3 linked regions of the Saccharomyces cerevisiae S288C genome follow. The main gene of each other region encodes a partner of the protein of the gene in region 2 in a complex. Each region holds a gene or a part of one and is shown on either strand. Other genes may lie near its edges. A codon is read from its position in the direction of its gene.

Region 1 (6,467 bases), on a different chromosome or scaffold from region 2:
TAGTATTTTCTAAAAACTGCTTTCTTTCTCTTTTGTTGTTTCTTTCAAACGAAACTTTAATTTGGGGAAATTAGGAAGAAGTATGATGCTGAACGAGAATCGCTTCCTTCTCTCTTCCTATCTATATTCAGCTGCTGCGACTATGTGACAGAAACAAAATTGAGGGCGAAAAACAAACAAGATATGATCTTATTAAATAACACACGGGTTTGTTAAAGTATAAATAGTACACACCCAATGAATCTAAACCGTTATCGTAAATCGGACTTACATGTAGGTCTTGACTCCCGCAGTCCCTTTGCCAATCATTTATGTGTAATGCCTCTTTCTTATTTGCAGAGGCCCCTTCCTTAGCCCCGGAATCGCAAACGGTCGAAGCTAACTGGTCCATCGCCGCCGGGTAATTATTTTGCGGCACTAATAAGCCCAGAGAATAAGCCAAAGGATATTAGTTACTCAAAGAATTATATTCGCTCTGTCGATCTTATTGTTACAGTGGTATATATTTTATAAACATATGTAGAGGTAGAAAAAAAGGCTAGAAAGAGTATTAGAGGGGAAAGGGATATAGTCGTAAAAAAAAAAAACATGTGGTGATGAAAACGTTACGAAGAGTGTTCCTTGAACCATTCATCAGTAAACTCATTTAACTTGTCAGCATCAACGTAAACCCAGGATCCCTCTTCATTATAGAATCTAGCATTTTCAAACATCGTTTGTAAGGCTTGCCTTACCTCCTCCAAAGTTTTGTAAGTGCCATTCTTGCAGTTTTTCAATATAATATCAATGGCCATGGGTTTTTCAATTACTTTAAAATAGTCCGGATAGTCGCGTTTCGAAGGAAGCTTTTCAAAAATGGACGTCCTTGGATGGGAGTCTACCTCATCTAACTGTTCGCGCATTTCTTCCACCAATTTTTCCACCGTGGGAAAAATCCCAAGCGACTTGGATTTAGTTTTAGTTTTTTTGGCTGCAGTCTTCTTCGCGGGCGATTTACTCTCTGGCTTTTCTTCTGCTCGCTTACCATCATTATTCTCCAACACAGTTGTTTTGTTTAGTTTGATCTTGACGGTCAGTTTCGGTTTCTTTTTCTTGGATTCTGAACCATTTATAATTTCAACGGAGCTACTTTTTACTTCCTCTTCCACCTTAGCGCCCCCGTTTTCTTGAGATGTACTCTCTTCTTGAGTATTCTCTTTGTCTTCTGCCGTAACAATGCTAATGGTCCTTTTCTTTCTACTACTCCGGCGTTTTGACCTGGAAGCTGTAGTCTCTTTATCAGCATTAGTTTCCTCATCCACAGCTGCAGTGAAGCTATTGTTCTCAATCAATGAAGTTTCGGATGCTTCAGGCGTGTTTTCCAGGGTTTCTATTTCATTCTCTTTTGTACCATTTTGACGTAATCTCCTTCTTTCACGTGCTTCACGTCTTTTTTTAATGGCATCTTCTAAAGACATATTATCATCTTCTACAGCCTCCAAAAATTGTTCTTCAGTTAGACCGTCATCATAGTAAACTCTTTTCTTTTGTCTAATCCTTCCCAATGGTTCAGAATCCTCTTTCTTGAAATGTTCTTCAATGTCTTCTCTGAATACTTTGGGTAGCTCGTCTAATTGAATCAATCTAGGAGGAGGGACTCTCAGGCCTTGCGCTTTAGCATCTGCTCTTTCTTGGTTCATTCTCTCCTTATCAATTTTATCAAATAGTATTTTTTCATCAGCGCTTCTGGCCAAAGTATCGTTTAACTCATCGTCATCTAATTCTGCTTTGTCATCATCATCCCTGTTCGTTTCACTTTCGATCAATCTTCTCAAAAAAGCTTCTTGCTCTTCTGCAGTTGATTTGTTATCAAACTTACCTGCCTGGATAACCTTGCCGTCAATGTCCAATTTCTGCATAGCTCTTTCCAAAATAACTTCCTCTACGGAATCAGTGGTAATTAATCTTAAAATTCTAACCTCATTCTTTTGTCCAATTCTGTGAGCTCTATCTTGGGCCTGTAAATCTTGGTGTGGATTCCAATCTGTATCAAAGATGATCACCGTATCTGCAGTTTGTAAATTCAAACCCAAACCACCGGCTCTAGTTGACAAAAGGAAACAGAAATAATCTGAATCTGGAGCATTAAATGCATTCAGCATTTCTGTTCTTTCTTCAGTCTTAGTGCTACCATCTAATCTCATATACTTCAAATCTTTCATTCTTAGGAAGTCTTCCATAATATCCATAACTTGAGTCATTTGGAAAAACATTAGCACTCTGTGGCCTGAGGCTTTGAATTTCGGTAGCACTCTATCCAGTAATTCAAACTTGCCCGCTACTCTGAAAAGTAAATCACTATTACCTCTTGAGGGGTTTACAACACCTTCCACTTCATCAAATACGAATGGATGGTTGCAGATTTTTCTTAATTGCATAATCTTATTGTTCAAACCTTTAATACCACCCTTTGTAGCCCCCTCAGTCCCTGCACCAACAAATAGCGCGTTATGCTTTAGCATTTGCTGATATAACTGTTGTTGCAAACCAGACAGTTTACATTTGATAACTTTTTCCACTTTATCAGGCAAATCCTTTTCCACTTCCTTTTTCAAACGACGCAATAAAAATGGCCTTAACACCTTATGTAATCTTCTAATAATTAACAGAGTTTCTTCTTCCGTTAATTCTAGTTTCTCTTGGGTACCGGTGTTGGCAAATGGAGTATTAAACCAATCTTCAAAAGTCTTCGCAGAATTGAAAATTTTAGGCAAAACAAAGTTCAACAGTGCCCATAATTCTGGTAGATTGTTCTGCAAAGGAGTACCCGTTAAAATCAATCTGTTTCTTGTACGATAATAATGAGAAATTGTGAATGATAACTTCGATTGAGCATTTTTCATTCTATGACCTTCGTCAATGATCATATGAGCCCAATCATGTTTTGATAAAAGAGATTTATCTTTAATAATATACTCATATGTTGTCAATAAGACGTCAAAATTTCCAACCCTTATTTGATGCTGTAAAGAGTGTCTTTGATTTGGTGTACCTTTGTATATAATAGTGTTTAAGCTCGGAGCCCATTTTTCAAATTCTAAAGTCCAATTGGTTATTGTGGATAAAGGTACAATGACTAGGAAAGGGCCGATGTCTTTCTTAACTTCATAAAGATATGTTATTAGAGAAATAGATTGGATGGTTTTACCTAAACCCATCTCATCTGCTAGAATACCGTTCAAATGATTATTGTACAACGACACCATCCATTCTAAACCTCGTAATTGATACTCTTTTAAAGTGCCGCCAACAAGAATAGAAGGTTGTTTATCAATTTTTTCTTTGATCCTATGAGCGACTTCATAATAGTCAGTCTTTTCTCTTTCTTCATCTGTAATTGGTTGGACTTCCTCACCATGAAGAATTTTTGCTTCGTTTTGTTGTGCTCTAACAGCCTCCGACAAAGAATCCAAAAAGGAATTAGTCTGCCTCAATAACTGTGTAATTCTAGTATCCTTAGTTTGATCTAAAAGCTTTAAATAAGCCTCCTCATCGTTAGACTTCAAAGCAGCTAAACGTTGCTTAGCAGTTCTTTCTATTCTTTTCTGTTCATCTTTCTCCATTTGATTGTGTAATGAAGCGCCTAATCTACCGAACTGAAAGCAACGTTCTTGACGAGACCATTGCTCGGACTGCCTTTCTTTGATGAAATCAATGATGCTGTTTATTTTTTGTAAATGTAAATTACGTTCCTTTTTTCTTTTTTCCAATAGTTGTTGCCTTTCTAATTCTTCTGCCAAACGAACGGTTTGTGGGACAATAACTTTGCTTCTAATTTGAACAGATCTTTGTGCAGCTGCTGTGAAAGGAGAATCACGTAGATATGGAATATTGTGGTGTGCCTGGCTGGCAACATTGTTGATTAACTTTTGCCTAATCGATTTTTGTTTAGTTAGTAGCTTTAAACTTTTCAATTCCACAAGAGCTTTGATTTTGAAAGTATCCATTCTGGACGATAAATCATCTTTTGTAATAAACTCTAAACAATCATCTAGTGAGTATGTACCCAGATTGGCAGGTAATCTTTCCAGCTCGTTAATTCTGTTGGATATACGTGCAGAAATCCTTATTTCGGTATCTGGATCGCCCAATGCAGTCTTCGTAGCGTTAGAAAATTTTGATTCTAAACCCAAACTTTTGGCCTTCGCATTGAAATCTGCTGATATTTTTATTGGTTTCTTTTCAGAATAGTCTACTTCGATCGCCGTAGTGTTATCGTTCTTGGTGTCTGGTAAGTCTAAGAAGTAGTCAGGGACATCTGTATCTTTCTCCAGTAACTGTAAGGCAACCAAGTGTTTATTCAATAAATCCTCATCGTACTGAAATCCTTTATCTATACTCTTTCTCAAGGTATCCAACTTTGTTTCGTAGATATCCTGATCACGTGATATATTCCTAAAAGTGTCTTCTATTGCCTTGATCTCCAACTTGTTTTCCTTTGGATGGTTTTGAATAGCCCTATAGCGGTAGAGTAGCTGCTCCAACTGTGCACTACTCCTCGGCTTTGGAATAGTGATTTCAGGTTGTTCCTCGGACCCCAGCTTTCCATTTGTTTCAGAGGCTGCAGCAACCGCAGCCAATGCGGCAACTGTTGTAGGTGTATTATTCATCACCGTGCTCATCAACTCAGATTGTTCCTGAAGCATTCGCGCTTGCTCTAAACTGTGCTGCCTCTTTGTGTTGTTATTTCCACCAAATTAGCCGCTGATTGCCTTTGTTTTTCTCTATACTCTTTTTCCTCTTAAGTTTCGTTTTCGTTATTGATAAACTTTTTCTTTTCTCAGTGCCAAATTGGTGTCTTCTTTTTTTGCCACGGGGCGGGTACTAGATAGTCACGTGAATGTATACACGTGACCCTAATGCTCTTTGAAAAATTTTGCGATGAGCTTTAACTAAGGAATATGGAAATATAGCTGGCAACTGTGGAAATATTGTTTTGTGGAAAAGTTGTTTAGAATACGAACAACTTAAGGAGGGAGCTAGCTAGGCCAAAATGTCATCTTCGCTGAGCCAAACATCTAAATACCAGGCCACCTCGGTTGTTAATGGACTGCTATCAAACCTTTTGCCTGGCGTTCCCAAAATCAGAGCTAATAATGGCAAAACAAGTGTAAACAATGGGTCAAAAGCTCAGTTAATCGACAGGAACTTGAAAAAGAGAGTACAGTTACAAAACAGAGACGTTCACAAAATTAAAAAAAAATGCAAACTGGTCAAAAAAAAAAAAGTTAAGAAACATAAATTAGATAAAGAGCAACTTGAACAACTGGCAAAACACCAGGTTTTGAAAAAACATCAACATGAGGGCACATTAACGGACCATGAGAGGAAGTATTTGAATAAGTTAATCAAAAGGAATTCTCAAAATTTGAGGTCGTGGGATTTAGAAGAGGAAGTACGAGATGAGCTTGAAGACATTCAGCAATCCATCTTGAAGGATACAGTTTCCACTGCGAACACAGACAGGAGTAAAAGAAGAAGGTTCAAAAGAAAACAATTCAAGGAAGATATCAAAGAGAGCGATTTTGTTAAAGATCATAGATATCCTGGTCTGACACCGGGTTTGGCACCTGTAGGACTAAGCGACGAGGAAGACTCTAGTGAAGAAGATTAAACGTAATAAAAATAAATGCTATTTTGCTGTACTATACATAAAAGAATCATATTTACTTAGTATACTCGCTAAGATTTTCACGTGCTCATCAATGTGAACAAATTATTAAATACAAGCGTTTACTCGAACGGGATTTGGCCTAATTCATAATAAACCTGTCTTGTGTCAACGCATTGCTTTCTTATTATTCTTTTTTTGTCAGATAAAACTGGTATTAAAGCGCTTAGAACATCGTCCTGATAGCTCAAACAATAGTTTAGAGGTACTACAGTCGTAATCATTTCTAGAAGCTGTAAGGCTATTAACCTGACACTGACACTATTATATTTGTGCGGAAGCGAAAGAGATAGTAATAATGGAACTATTGTGCTTACGTGTTCAGTAATTAAAGTGTGATGTTTATCCGTAGTGTCCTTCAGAGTTTCTAAAGCGGATACCCTTACTTCAGGATCAGGCATATCCAAAGCCTGCAATAAAAGCGGGAATAAATCGTTGATAAAAGGACCAACCGATTGGCTTGGAGTATGCTTCAACACTAAGGATAATGCAGTTAAATAATTGCATTTAATGGTCATGTCCACGGTATTTTTATAGTTGCTGACTAGTGTTTGAAAAATGTCACCGAAGAATTTTTGTTTGTACAAGATTTTAACGTTATTATTCCAACTGATACCTTTAAATTTCTTCAAAGAACTGATATCCATGACAAAAACTTCGAATAGCTTCGATACAAGTGAGCCAATCTCTTCATTAGACAGTAAATCAATAAACTTTTTTGCAATTTCTGATGACTCTAATGAGTTTTGCATTATCA
Region 2 (4,069 bases):
CTCTCTGATCGATGACCTGAACGAGCAGAAACTCAAGCAGCAGCTGAATATCGAGAAGACAAAATACTTCCAAGGAAAAAATGGCGGATCGCTGCACTCCAATACAGACTTTCAGGACACATCGCAGAATATCGAAGACAACAATAACGATAACGATAACGATATCGATGAAGATGACGACATGTCATCTTACAACGACAAAGCAGCCTCGGTAGCGCACACCAGAGTCCTCAATTCCTTGCATCTGTCCACCGACAGCAATACCGCCCACGAGACGTCCAATGCAAACGACAACCACAACCCCTTCTACATCCGCGAGGAATAATAGCATATCCGCATACGCACACGCACACGCACACGCGCACGCATCCACATTCACTTTCACTTATAAAATTTCTTCTCTCTAGTTTTATATACGTTGTATTAGAAATATAAAATATGACAATAGTACACTTTGTAGGCTCTCTTTTTTTTTTTTTTTTTTTTTCTTATATATTTTTTTACAATGACCACGGTTTGTACACCTGGGGCTGCAATTTTGCAATGGAGTCGCCTTCGCCTACTTCCTCGCCTTCCTTGCCTACACGTTTCACGCCATGTCCTGTGGCCGTATTGCCGTCTTCGTCATCGCCCTCCTGGTCCTTCTCCACTAGTTGTATGCCCGAGTCTACTTGCTCCGAGATCAGTACCAGTTTCTTCGACACATTCAACTCCTCCAGCGACTTGTTCAGGTCAAGAATCTGTTTACTCAGTGATAATCGGTCGTTCAGCATCTTTTCAGATTCCTTCACATATTTCAGTTTTTCCATCTCCAGTTGCGTTTCTAGATCGCACAGCTTTGTAAACTTGCTCTCTAATTTCTCCATGGTCAGCTTGACTAACTCTTGGATTATCGCTTGGCTTTCTTCAATGTACTTTTCGGAGATCTCTCTCGACTTATCAGAGACCTTACCCAATTTGTCGTCGCCTTGCAGTAGCGTCTGGACAGCATCATTCACGCATTCCATCAACTTCGAACCGGACACACTACCATCGCGGCTGTCGCCACCCTTACCATTCAGCGTTGAACCAACAACTTCTCGGATGTAGTTGTCCTCGATCGGTAAGCTTAGGAATTTTTCAATGCAGTCTTCTACACGCTTGTGCCCACCCACGTGGTCAGCAATCTTCTCCCACTGGTCTTCATACATTTCAATACCCTCCAGCAATAGTAGCATCTCCTGGTCTGACCAGTTTTTTTTAACCGAGTTTCCGTTGTTTTCTAATCTGATGAAATCTGAAGATTGAAAGTTGGCACCGAAATGACCCTCTTGGAAACAACGGGAGCACAGGTTGGTGTCCCGTGCACGCAAATTGTGGTAGCGCACATTGATTGACTCGTTACCGCATGTATGGCAAATGTAAACTTTGTGAATCTGCCTGGAGTTTCTACTTTCGTCTTGTAATGCATTGAAGTCTTGTGCAGAATCGTAAACGTTCTTCTTGATTGTGAGATTAACGGGAAATTCCTTCTTGACTTGTGGTTCCGCTCCATCTCCTCCTTCCACTTCTTGCTTGATCACATTCTCTGGTAAAAATGGCTTTAACCCCTGCGGAGTGTCCAGAACCACTTGGAAGTGGCCCGTAAAACTTGGCCCAATAAGACTGGGCTTGGTCCTGGGGTCAATCTGATAATTGATTAAGCCCCATTTTTCCAAGAACGCGTGAATCTTCACTATCGAGGCAACATCCATGGCAACATTTCTTCTCACAGCGGTAATGGTCAAATATTCGTACGGCGAAAGACGGTACGTGTTGATGATAAAATTTCTTGTGTCCTTATATGCCTTTGGTGTCTTGAACCTTGATGAATCGTTGAAAAAGTCGGGATTGGATCTTTTTTCGATCTCGTGGATCTTCGAAATATCAAACCAAGAGGCAAACGACGGAATAATCACCGGGTGAGTTTGCTTTGCCAGGAACCTAAGGGCCTTCTCCTCCAGTTTCTGTGCTTCTTGCTCGTAATTGATTTTCTTATGAGCTACTTCTGCTCCCAATGTGGCAGATTCCTCCTTCGCCTGTTCCTGTGCTAAGTGAGGGAAAGATGGCGTGTTGGTGCTTGTGGTGGGTGGCTCCTCGGTCGCTTCGTGCGAGTCTACCATAGGGACATCCTTATCCTTTTCAGTGTCGCTCATTATCCTGGCCTTCTATCTACTCTTTGCTTCTCTGCTCTACCCTTCTCTCTATAAACCTCACGAACTAATTCAATGTTGATGAAACTTATTTTTTCCAACTTTTTTACATCAAGCGGGTGACAAAGAGAACGCCGTAATTAAATTATCATAGAAAAGAGTAACGGATTAAGGAAGTATCAAATTTGGCGATGAGATGAGCAGATGCTCAAACGCGGCGCTGATGACTGTTGTTGAGGATGCTGTTGGGGCCAGGGTGGCTGCAAGGACGAGAAACATGAGCAATGGCGTCAATTACCGGGAGAAGGAAGTCAATGACCTAACGGCTGACATTTCAGATTCAGATTCAGATTTGGATTCAGAGGACAATAAACATGGCAAAGGCGACAATGACACTGCCCCCATATGGTTACAAGATGATGTGCATTCAGACGAAGATATTCAGCTGGACTCAGAGGACGATTCCGATACAGAAGCTGTTCAAGCCCAAGTGGTGGATAAATTGGCAAAAGACACGAAATCAGAGCAAAAATCCTTGGATGATGAGCTCTCCGAGATGGATACCAAGACGGTTTCTTTAAAACTTAAGAAACTAAACGAGTTTGTGAGGCAGAGTCAGGTATATTCCAGTATAATCGCCGATACTTTACTACATCGATCTAATGAAGTGGCTAACGCTAATACAAAAGATAACAGCAACTCTGATGATGAAGAACATTCTTCAAAAAAACGTAAAACAAAAAAAAAATCAATAACAGATTTCTTCAAAAAACAGAAAAAGAACGAAGATACAACCACCCAAAACGGCGCACCAGACGATGCAGCAATAAAGCAACCTCGCCTATTGAAAAACTGTATTTTAAAACCTTACCAACTAGAAGGTCTTAACTGGCTGATCACTCTTTATGAAAATGGCCTGAACGGAATTCTTGCCGATGAAATGGGTCTTGGTAAGACTGTTCAAAGTATTGCTCTTTTGGCGTTCATATATGAAATGGACACAAAGGGTCCTTTTCTAGTGACTGCACCATTAAGCACCCTAGATAATTGGATGAACGAATTTGCAAAATTCGCTCCTGATCTACCAGTTCTAAAATATTATGGGACCAATGGTTATAAGGAACGTTCTGCCAAGTTGAAAAATTTCTTTAAACAACACGGCGGCACGGGGATCGTCATCACATCATATGAAATTATTTTAAGAGATACCGACTTAATCATGAGTCAAAATTGGAAATTTTTAATTGTTGATGAAGGCCACCGTCTGAAAAATATAAACTGTAGATTGATTAAAGAGTTAAAAAAAATCAATACTTCCAATAGACTGCTACTAACAGGGACGCCTTTACAAAATAACCTAGCTGAATTATGGTCACTTTTGAATTTCATAATGCCCGATATCTTTGCCGATTTCGAGATATTCAATAAATGGTTTGACTTCGACAGCTTAAATTTAGGCTCCGGTTCCAACTCTGAAGCATTGAATAAGTTAATCAACGATGAACTACAGAAAAATTTGATTTCCAATTTACACACAATTCTGAAACCATTCCTTTTGAGAAGATTGAAAAAAGTTGTTTTGGCTAATATTCTGCCGCCAAAGAGAGAATATATCATAAATTGTCCGATGACGTCTGCACAGGAAAAATTCTATAAGGCTGGATTGAATGGAAAGTTGAAAAAAACCATGTTCAAAGAATTAATCAAGGATTTTTTCACATTGAACGATGAATACATCGGCCACGTTTCTAATCGGTCCATACGAGATTTCATCAATTATAAACTATCTGGTAATGAAACTTCAAATACAGACAATAAAATCAATCCAACCTTGTTGCAAATGGACAAACTATATAAGAAGAACCTGCAAATGGAAATTTCAAATAAGAAATTGCAAA
Region 3 (3,892 bases), on a different chromosome or scaffold from region 2:
TATCTCCTGATGAATTTGCTGAACTTTGCAAAGTATACAGGGCGTTATGTATTGAGTGCGCAACAGACGACACCTTTAATAGTAATAGTGATTTGATCGCCGCAAAAGATGCGTTTTTGGTATCTGTGTTGAGAATCGCAGATGGGTTTTGGGAGCATGACAAACTTTTGCAGCTAAGGATGCTTGATAGTAATATGAACATACCTAATCAGATTCCTCATACTACTTTGCAAAGTTCGCTATCTGCGATTGTAATAAAGATAATAGAAAGTAATATAGGAAAAATTGAGGCGTCTGAACCTTTCAAAACCTTCAAGAATACGTAAATTATACACATGTAATATAAGCATATTTAAAAATTCTCCGTAATATATGTCATATATGTCAAATTGCGAATTAGTCCAAATAGAAACAAGATCTATCAGTGTTGGTGATAAACATTTTGTATTCTTTTGGTAACGTGTATCTCAAAGAAGTGCATGACTTTTTTTACGTTCTCTTTAGTCTTGATTTAGTTGCTTCTGCGTTTGTTAAATTTTTTGTCCTTCCCGTTTGATTAATAATACTTATAATAATACAATTCTGTAACAAGAAAAGCAAAGTTACTACATTCTCATTGTGGTTTCTAAGTCATCTAATCTTCTCCTGCCCCTTCTAGATAATCTATCAGTTTCTCTTTTCAATCTTCTTAAGTTTCTTTCTTTTTCAATTTCTCTCTTTTGTATTTCTTCTTTTGTTAATATTTCCACCCTTGGGCACCAATTGGAGCCCAGTTCATCAATATCCAGCCTTATACCAGATAAGTACCCAAATGCGGCATCGTTTGGGACATGGTCCTGAATCAAGTGGCCATCTACCCAGTCCTTCTTTATCTTCAAGATAGTTTCATGAAGCGATTGAGATATTAAGGGGATGAACTCTCTTGTTAAGCCAAGGTCCTGTACAATGGATGTAGCAAATCTTTCTGGAGTAAGTGATTTGTCGTTCAAGTTCCACTGGAAGTTATCTTCAAAAAATCTGTCTTGTAAGTTGCAGGTTAGGTTGATTATCACGTGGAGGTCAGACATTATCTCAGTGGCTGCAATATTTTCGAGGTCTTTCAACTGCTCTTTTATTATATTCGCAATTTGAGTTTGTAAGGTAGCGGAAGTCATATCAAGATCTTTACAGTATATAGAGGCAAATTCCTCCGGAGATATGGAGTCGTCATTGTAGTTCCAGAGAAACTGGTCTTTTATGGTATGACCCATATGTTCTATATCCAAAGTAATTGGTATCATGATTGCCTCTCCAGAATTGGCGTTTGCCTTCGTTTCTTGATCAGTGTTGAGTCTATATGGAGACACCACTTTTCCGTTAATGAAAGTATCTCTTATTTTAGGGTATCTCAATATGTTGAAGGGGTTGTGGTGTTGGTCTTGCAGATCCGGTAGAACGGCGTTTCCAATATCCTGTGCCTGCGCTTTGTTGCTCGGACCATTGCTGGCGTTGTTATTGCTATTCAAACCGGATAAAGATTCCACAACCATGTTTGAACCCGCATCGTATTTGTTGTTAGAGATAATACTATCAGCTCCATTCATGTTCTCTAGGACATTGTATTCGGAACCGTCCATGGTAACACCATTTGTAAGTGCCGGAGTATTTTCATGAGACACTGCATTATCTTTATAGTGTGTATCAGCATTGTTGAAATTAGAACCGTTCATATTGAATTCATCAAAGAGATCGTTGTCATATTCCGCATAGTTGACCACTTTAGCCCTTTTATGCTGCCTTGTTTGTTGAGCCATTGTAAAGATGGGGATACCATCATCTTCGTTTGTCAATCTGTTATGAAAGTTAGAAATATAAGCTTGTGGAATAAGCTGGTTTTGGTGCGACATTGTGTGCTGCTATGTGCCTTTCTTCTTTCTTTTTTCAATGTACTTCATTCAATAATCTCTATTTGTCGTATTTTCTAAGTTTTTTTTTTTTGTCAAAGTAGTCGCGGCGACTTTAAATGAGCAGATCATCATTTAGTAGACAAAAAGACACGGGACATCTTCTATCTATATAGTTTACATACTTTATTATGTGAAAGAGTCTTTCGAAATTGCAACAATGCTCGATAAATCTATGGGTCATGTGCTCTATAATTCCTGTACATTAGCATCGGGTGCGTGTAATTTTTGGGGTGATATGGCATTCTCCATCAACTTTTCCTTTTATTTAGCATCTTCTGTAAGTCAGATGCTACTTTTGCACTGCCGTGGGTCTCCTTGTGGCATATAAAGCATTTGGTGCCCTTTTTCATATCTTTGGCAAAACACGATCCACAAAAATAATGGCCACAGTTTGTGACCACTGGAGACTTGTAATCTTCCTTACAAAGAGTGCACTTGAACGGTATCTTTTCCAAGTCTAGAGTAACCGCTTTGGAGTCCTCTTTATCCGCATTCCATTCTTGGTTCAGCTTCCAGCCAGTCTTGAAATCATCCCTCGAGTGTAAGAACTTGCAGCTATCTCCGTAACCACAGTATCCCGTCTGTTTGTAATCTTTGCAAACGTCGGGCTGAAAATCCATCAGCACCGTGGTCCGGATATTCGTTGGTTGGTTAATCTGTTTAGTGAGGCGTTTATTTTTACCGCTCATGTTCAGTACCAGCTCATTGTCATCACTAGGTCGCCTCTTCTTTGCCTTCTCAGCCAGCTCTTTTCTCTCAAAGTTTAGAAGATCTTCTTTAGTGCTGTCGTCGTTGACCGTTAAAGTGTATTTATCTAAATCCTCACCCTTTTTCTGTAGTTTACCTTCATTCTCATGTGAAAGTTGAAGTGTCCTGCTATTTCCACTCTTGGCTAAGCTCATGAGGTCACTGGAACCCTTTTCTTCATCGCTGGCCACTAGTTTCTCTTCGCTAAAATTAATTTTCTGCCTCTTTTTCTGGTTCTTTTCATCAGAAGAGCTTTTGTTCACTAATCTCTTTCTGAACATGAATACCTGGAGCTTTGATTAAGTGATGGAGCTTTCGATGGCTTTAGCTTGAGTCCACTTCAGATAGAGATGCGCATGGCTTTTTCTTATTATTCTCCGGTTGCACGGAAAGAAGCGGGAAGAGGACTAAAGGGTTTTTGGATCAGCTTCACAAAATATATACTTGGATACGTTCGCTACTGAGGTAAAGTGGGCATGCAAGGTTGCAATTTAGGATTCGAGCTGTCTAGTTGATCCTCCGGAGTGTAAAAACTGATTTTCAATGAGTGGTAACACAACTAACGTGCATGAGACTAGAGCCAAGTTTGCAGAGACGCTGCAACCGAGGATTGGTGGCAATACTACAAAAGTGATACGAGCTGCTTTGGAAAAGAACGAAGCTGAAAGCGGGGTGTCTGAGGATAATGATAACGGGTCATTGGAGAAAGTTAACGTAGCTACTTCGCCGCTTTTGACATCAACACCGCCCACAATCTCAAAGGCGTTGGTGAAATTGTACCCTTATTTAATTCTCATTGACGAATTCCTAAACGTTGTTACATGGACAGGAAAGAATATTTGGAGCAGTGTTTTGATGCTGTGTCTCTTTATTACTACCGTTGAGTATTTTGAAACGCTGGTGAAGTACTTTGGACATCTTGCCATCATTGCTATTTTGTGGGGTTATTCCCTATTGGACAATTATATTGAGGGTACGTTGAGCTCCTCACCAACATTAGAAGATATTGCTCTCTTAATGAACAGAGTATCCTTGAAGTCAGATATTTTGCTCTCCCCCATGGTTAACCTTGGAACGCAAGATATTCAACGGCTTCTATATACTACGGTCATATTATCTCCAATATACGTGATGATAACCTGGCTACTTTTACCACCGAGAAGCTTGATGCTGATGGTGGGCATGTTCCTTTTAACGTA

Evidence for each region. The genes of interacting proteins can lie anywhere in the genome.
Region 1: the proteins of RSC8 (region 2) and STH1 are in contact, whole or in part, in a cryo-EM structure (PDB 6V8O), measured with the Saccharomyces cerevisiae proteins. Residues at the interface, in NP_116695.3 of Saccharomyces cerevisiae: Phe224 (codon at 1,505), Val226 (codon at 1,499), Asn227 (codon at 1,496), Leu228 (codon at 1,493), Thr229 (codon at 1,490), Ile230 (codon at 1,487), Lys231 (codon at 1,484), Lys232 (codon at 1,481), Asn233 (codon at 1,478), Val234 (codon at 1,475), Tyr235 (codon at 1,472), Gln239 (codon at 1,460), Ala243 (codon at 1,448), Leu244 (codon at 1,445), Arg249 (codon at 1,430), Asn250 (codon at 1,427), Ser251 (codon at 1,424), Asn281 (codon at 1,334), Leu282 (codon at 1,331), Cys283 (codon at 1,328), Arg285 (codon at 1,322), Cys286 (codon at 1,319), Phe287 (codon at 1,316), Gln288 (codon at 1,313), His291 (codon at 1,304), Asn295 (codon at 1,292), Phe296 (codon at 1,289), Lys313 (codon at 1,238), Leu321 (codon at 1,214), Leu324 (codon at 1,205); in NP_012140.1 of Saccharomyces cerevisiae: Ala53 (codon at 4,529), Glu56 (codon at 4,520), Gln57 (codon at 4,517), Leu59 (codon at 4,511), Tyr60 (codon at 4,508), Tyr62 (codon at 4,502), Arg63 (codon at 4,499), Ala64 (codon at 4,496), Gln66 (codon at 4,490), Asn67 (codon at 4,487), Glu80 (codon at 4,448), Arg101 (codon at 4,385), Asn116 (codon at 4,340), Lys117 (codon at 4,337), Leu119 (codon at 4,331), Val120 (codon at 4,328), Gln123 (codon at 4,319), Leu124 (codon at 4,316), Leu125 (codon at 4,313), Glu126 (codon at 4,310), Lys127 (codon at 4,307), Asp128 (codon at 4,304), Thr129 (codon at 4,301), Pro132 (codon at 4,292), Tyr134 (codon at 4,286), Phe135 (codon at 4,283), Leu138 (codon at 4,274), Arg202 (codon at 4,082), Leu206 (codon at 4,070), Leu209 (codon at 4,061).
Region 3: the proteins of RSC8 (region 2) and SFH1 are in contact, whole or in part, in a cryo-EM structure (PDB 6V8O), measured with the Saccharomyces cerevisiae proteins. Residues at the interface, in NP_116695.3 of Saccharomyces cerevisiae: Arg71 (codon at 1,964), Phe72 (codon at 1,961), Leu73 (codon at 1,958), Ala74 (codon at 1,955), Lys75 (codon at 1,952), Thr77 (codon at 1,946), His78 (codon at 1,943), Pro79 (codon at 1,940), Ile81 (codon at 1,934), Arg100 (codon at 1,877), Ser101 (codon at 1,874), Ser109 (codon at 1,850), Ser110 (codon at 1,847), Arg111 (codon at 1,844), Phe112 (codon at 1,841), Lys113 (codon at 1,838), Phe124 (codon at 1,805), Tyr129 (codon at 1,790), Pro133 (codon at 1,778), Tyr134 (codon at 1,775), Glu135 (codon at 1,772), Tyr136 (codon at 1,769), Thr138 (codon at 1,763), Ile139 (codon at 1,760), Thr140 (codon at 1,757), Ala141 (codon at 1,754), Arg143 (codon at 1,748), Arg144 (codon at 1,745), Asn145 (codon at 1,742), Val146 (codon at 1,739); in NP_013425.1 of Saccharomyces cerevisiae: Ser2 (codon at 1,883), Gln4 (codon at 1,877), Asn5 (codon at 1,874), Gln6 (codon at 1,871), Leu7 (codon at 1,868), Ile8 (codon at 1,865), Pro9 (codon at 1,862), Gln10 (codon at 1,859), Ala11 (codon at 1,856), Tyr12 (codon at 1,853), Ile13 (codon at 1,850), Ser14 (codon at 1,847), Asn15 (codon at 1,844), Phe16 (codon at 1,841), Arg19 (codon at 1,832), Pro28 (codon at 1,805), Ile29 (codon at 1,802), Asp154 (codon at 1,427), Leu155 (codon at 1,424), Gln156 (codon at 1,421), Asp157 (codon at 1,418), Gln158 (codon at 1,415), His159 (codon at 1,412), His160 (codon at 1,409), Asn161 (codon at 1,406), Pro162 (codon at 1,403), Ile165 (codon at 1,394), Ile171 (codon at 1,376), Thr174 (codon at 1,367), Phe175 (codon at 1,364).

Annotation. Positions count from the first base shown.
Region 1 is NC_001141.2:116,210-122,676, reverse strand, and holds STH1 (RSC chromatin remodeling complex ATPase subunit STH1), read right to left. Parts: upstream 4,686-6,467; coding exon 606-4,685; downstream 1-605. Other genes in the region: RRT14 (Rrt14p), read left to right, coding at 5,033-5,653; MET18 (Met18p), read right to left, coding at 5,773-6,467. UniProt on the Saccharomyces cerevisiae protein: Catalytic component of the chromatin structure-remodeling complex (RSC), which is involved in transcription regulation and nucleosome positioning. RSC is responsible for the transfer of a histone octamer from a nucleosome core particle to naked DNA.
Region 2 is NC_001138.5:227,013-231,081, forward strand, and holds RSC8 (Rsc8p), read right to left. Parts: upstream 2,175-4,069; coding exon 501-2,174; downstream 1-500. Other genes in the region: anaphase promoting complex subunit CDC26, read left to right, coding at 1-325; IRC5 (putative ATPase), read left to right, coding at 2,368-4,069.
Region 3 is NC_001144.5:775,979-779,870, forward strand, and holds SFH1 (Sfh1p), read right to left. Parts: upstream 1,887-3,892; coding exon 606-1,886; downstream 1-605. Other genes in the region: MMS22 (Mms22p), read left to right, coding at 1-326; U2-type spliceosomal complex subunit CWC24, read right to left, coding at 2,195-2,974; PEX30 (peroxisome biogenesis protein), read left to right, coding at 3,237-3,892. UniProt on the Saccharomyces cerevisiae protein: Component of the chromatin structure-remodeling complex (RSC), which is involved in transcription regulation and nucleosome positioning. RSC is responsible for the transfer of a histone octamer from a nucleosome core particle to naked DNA.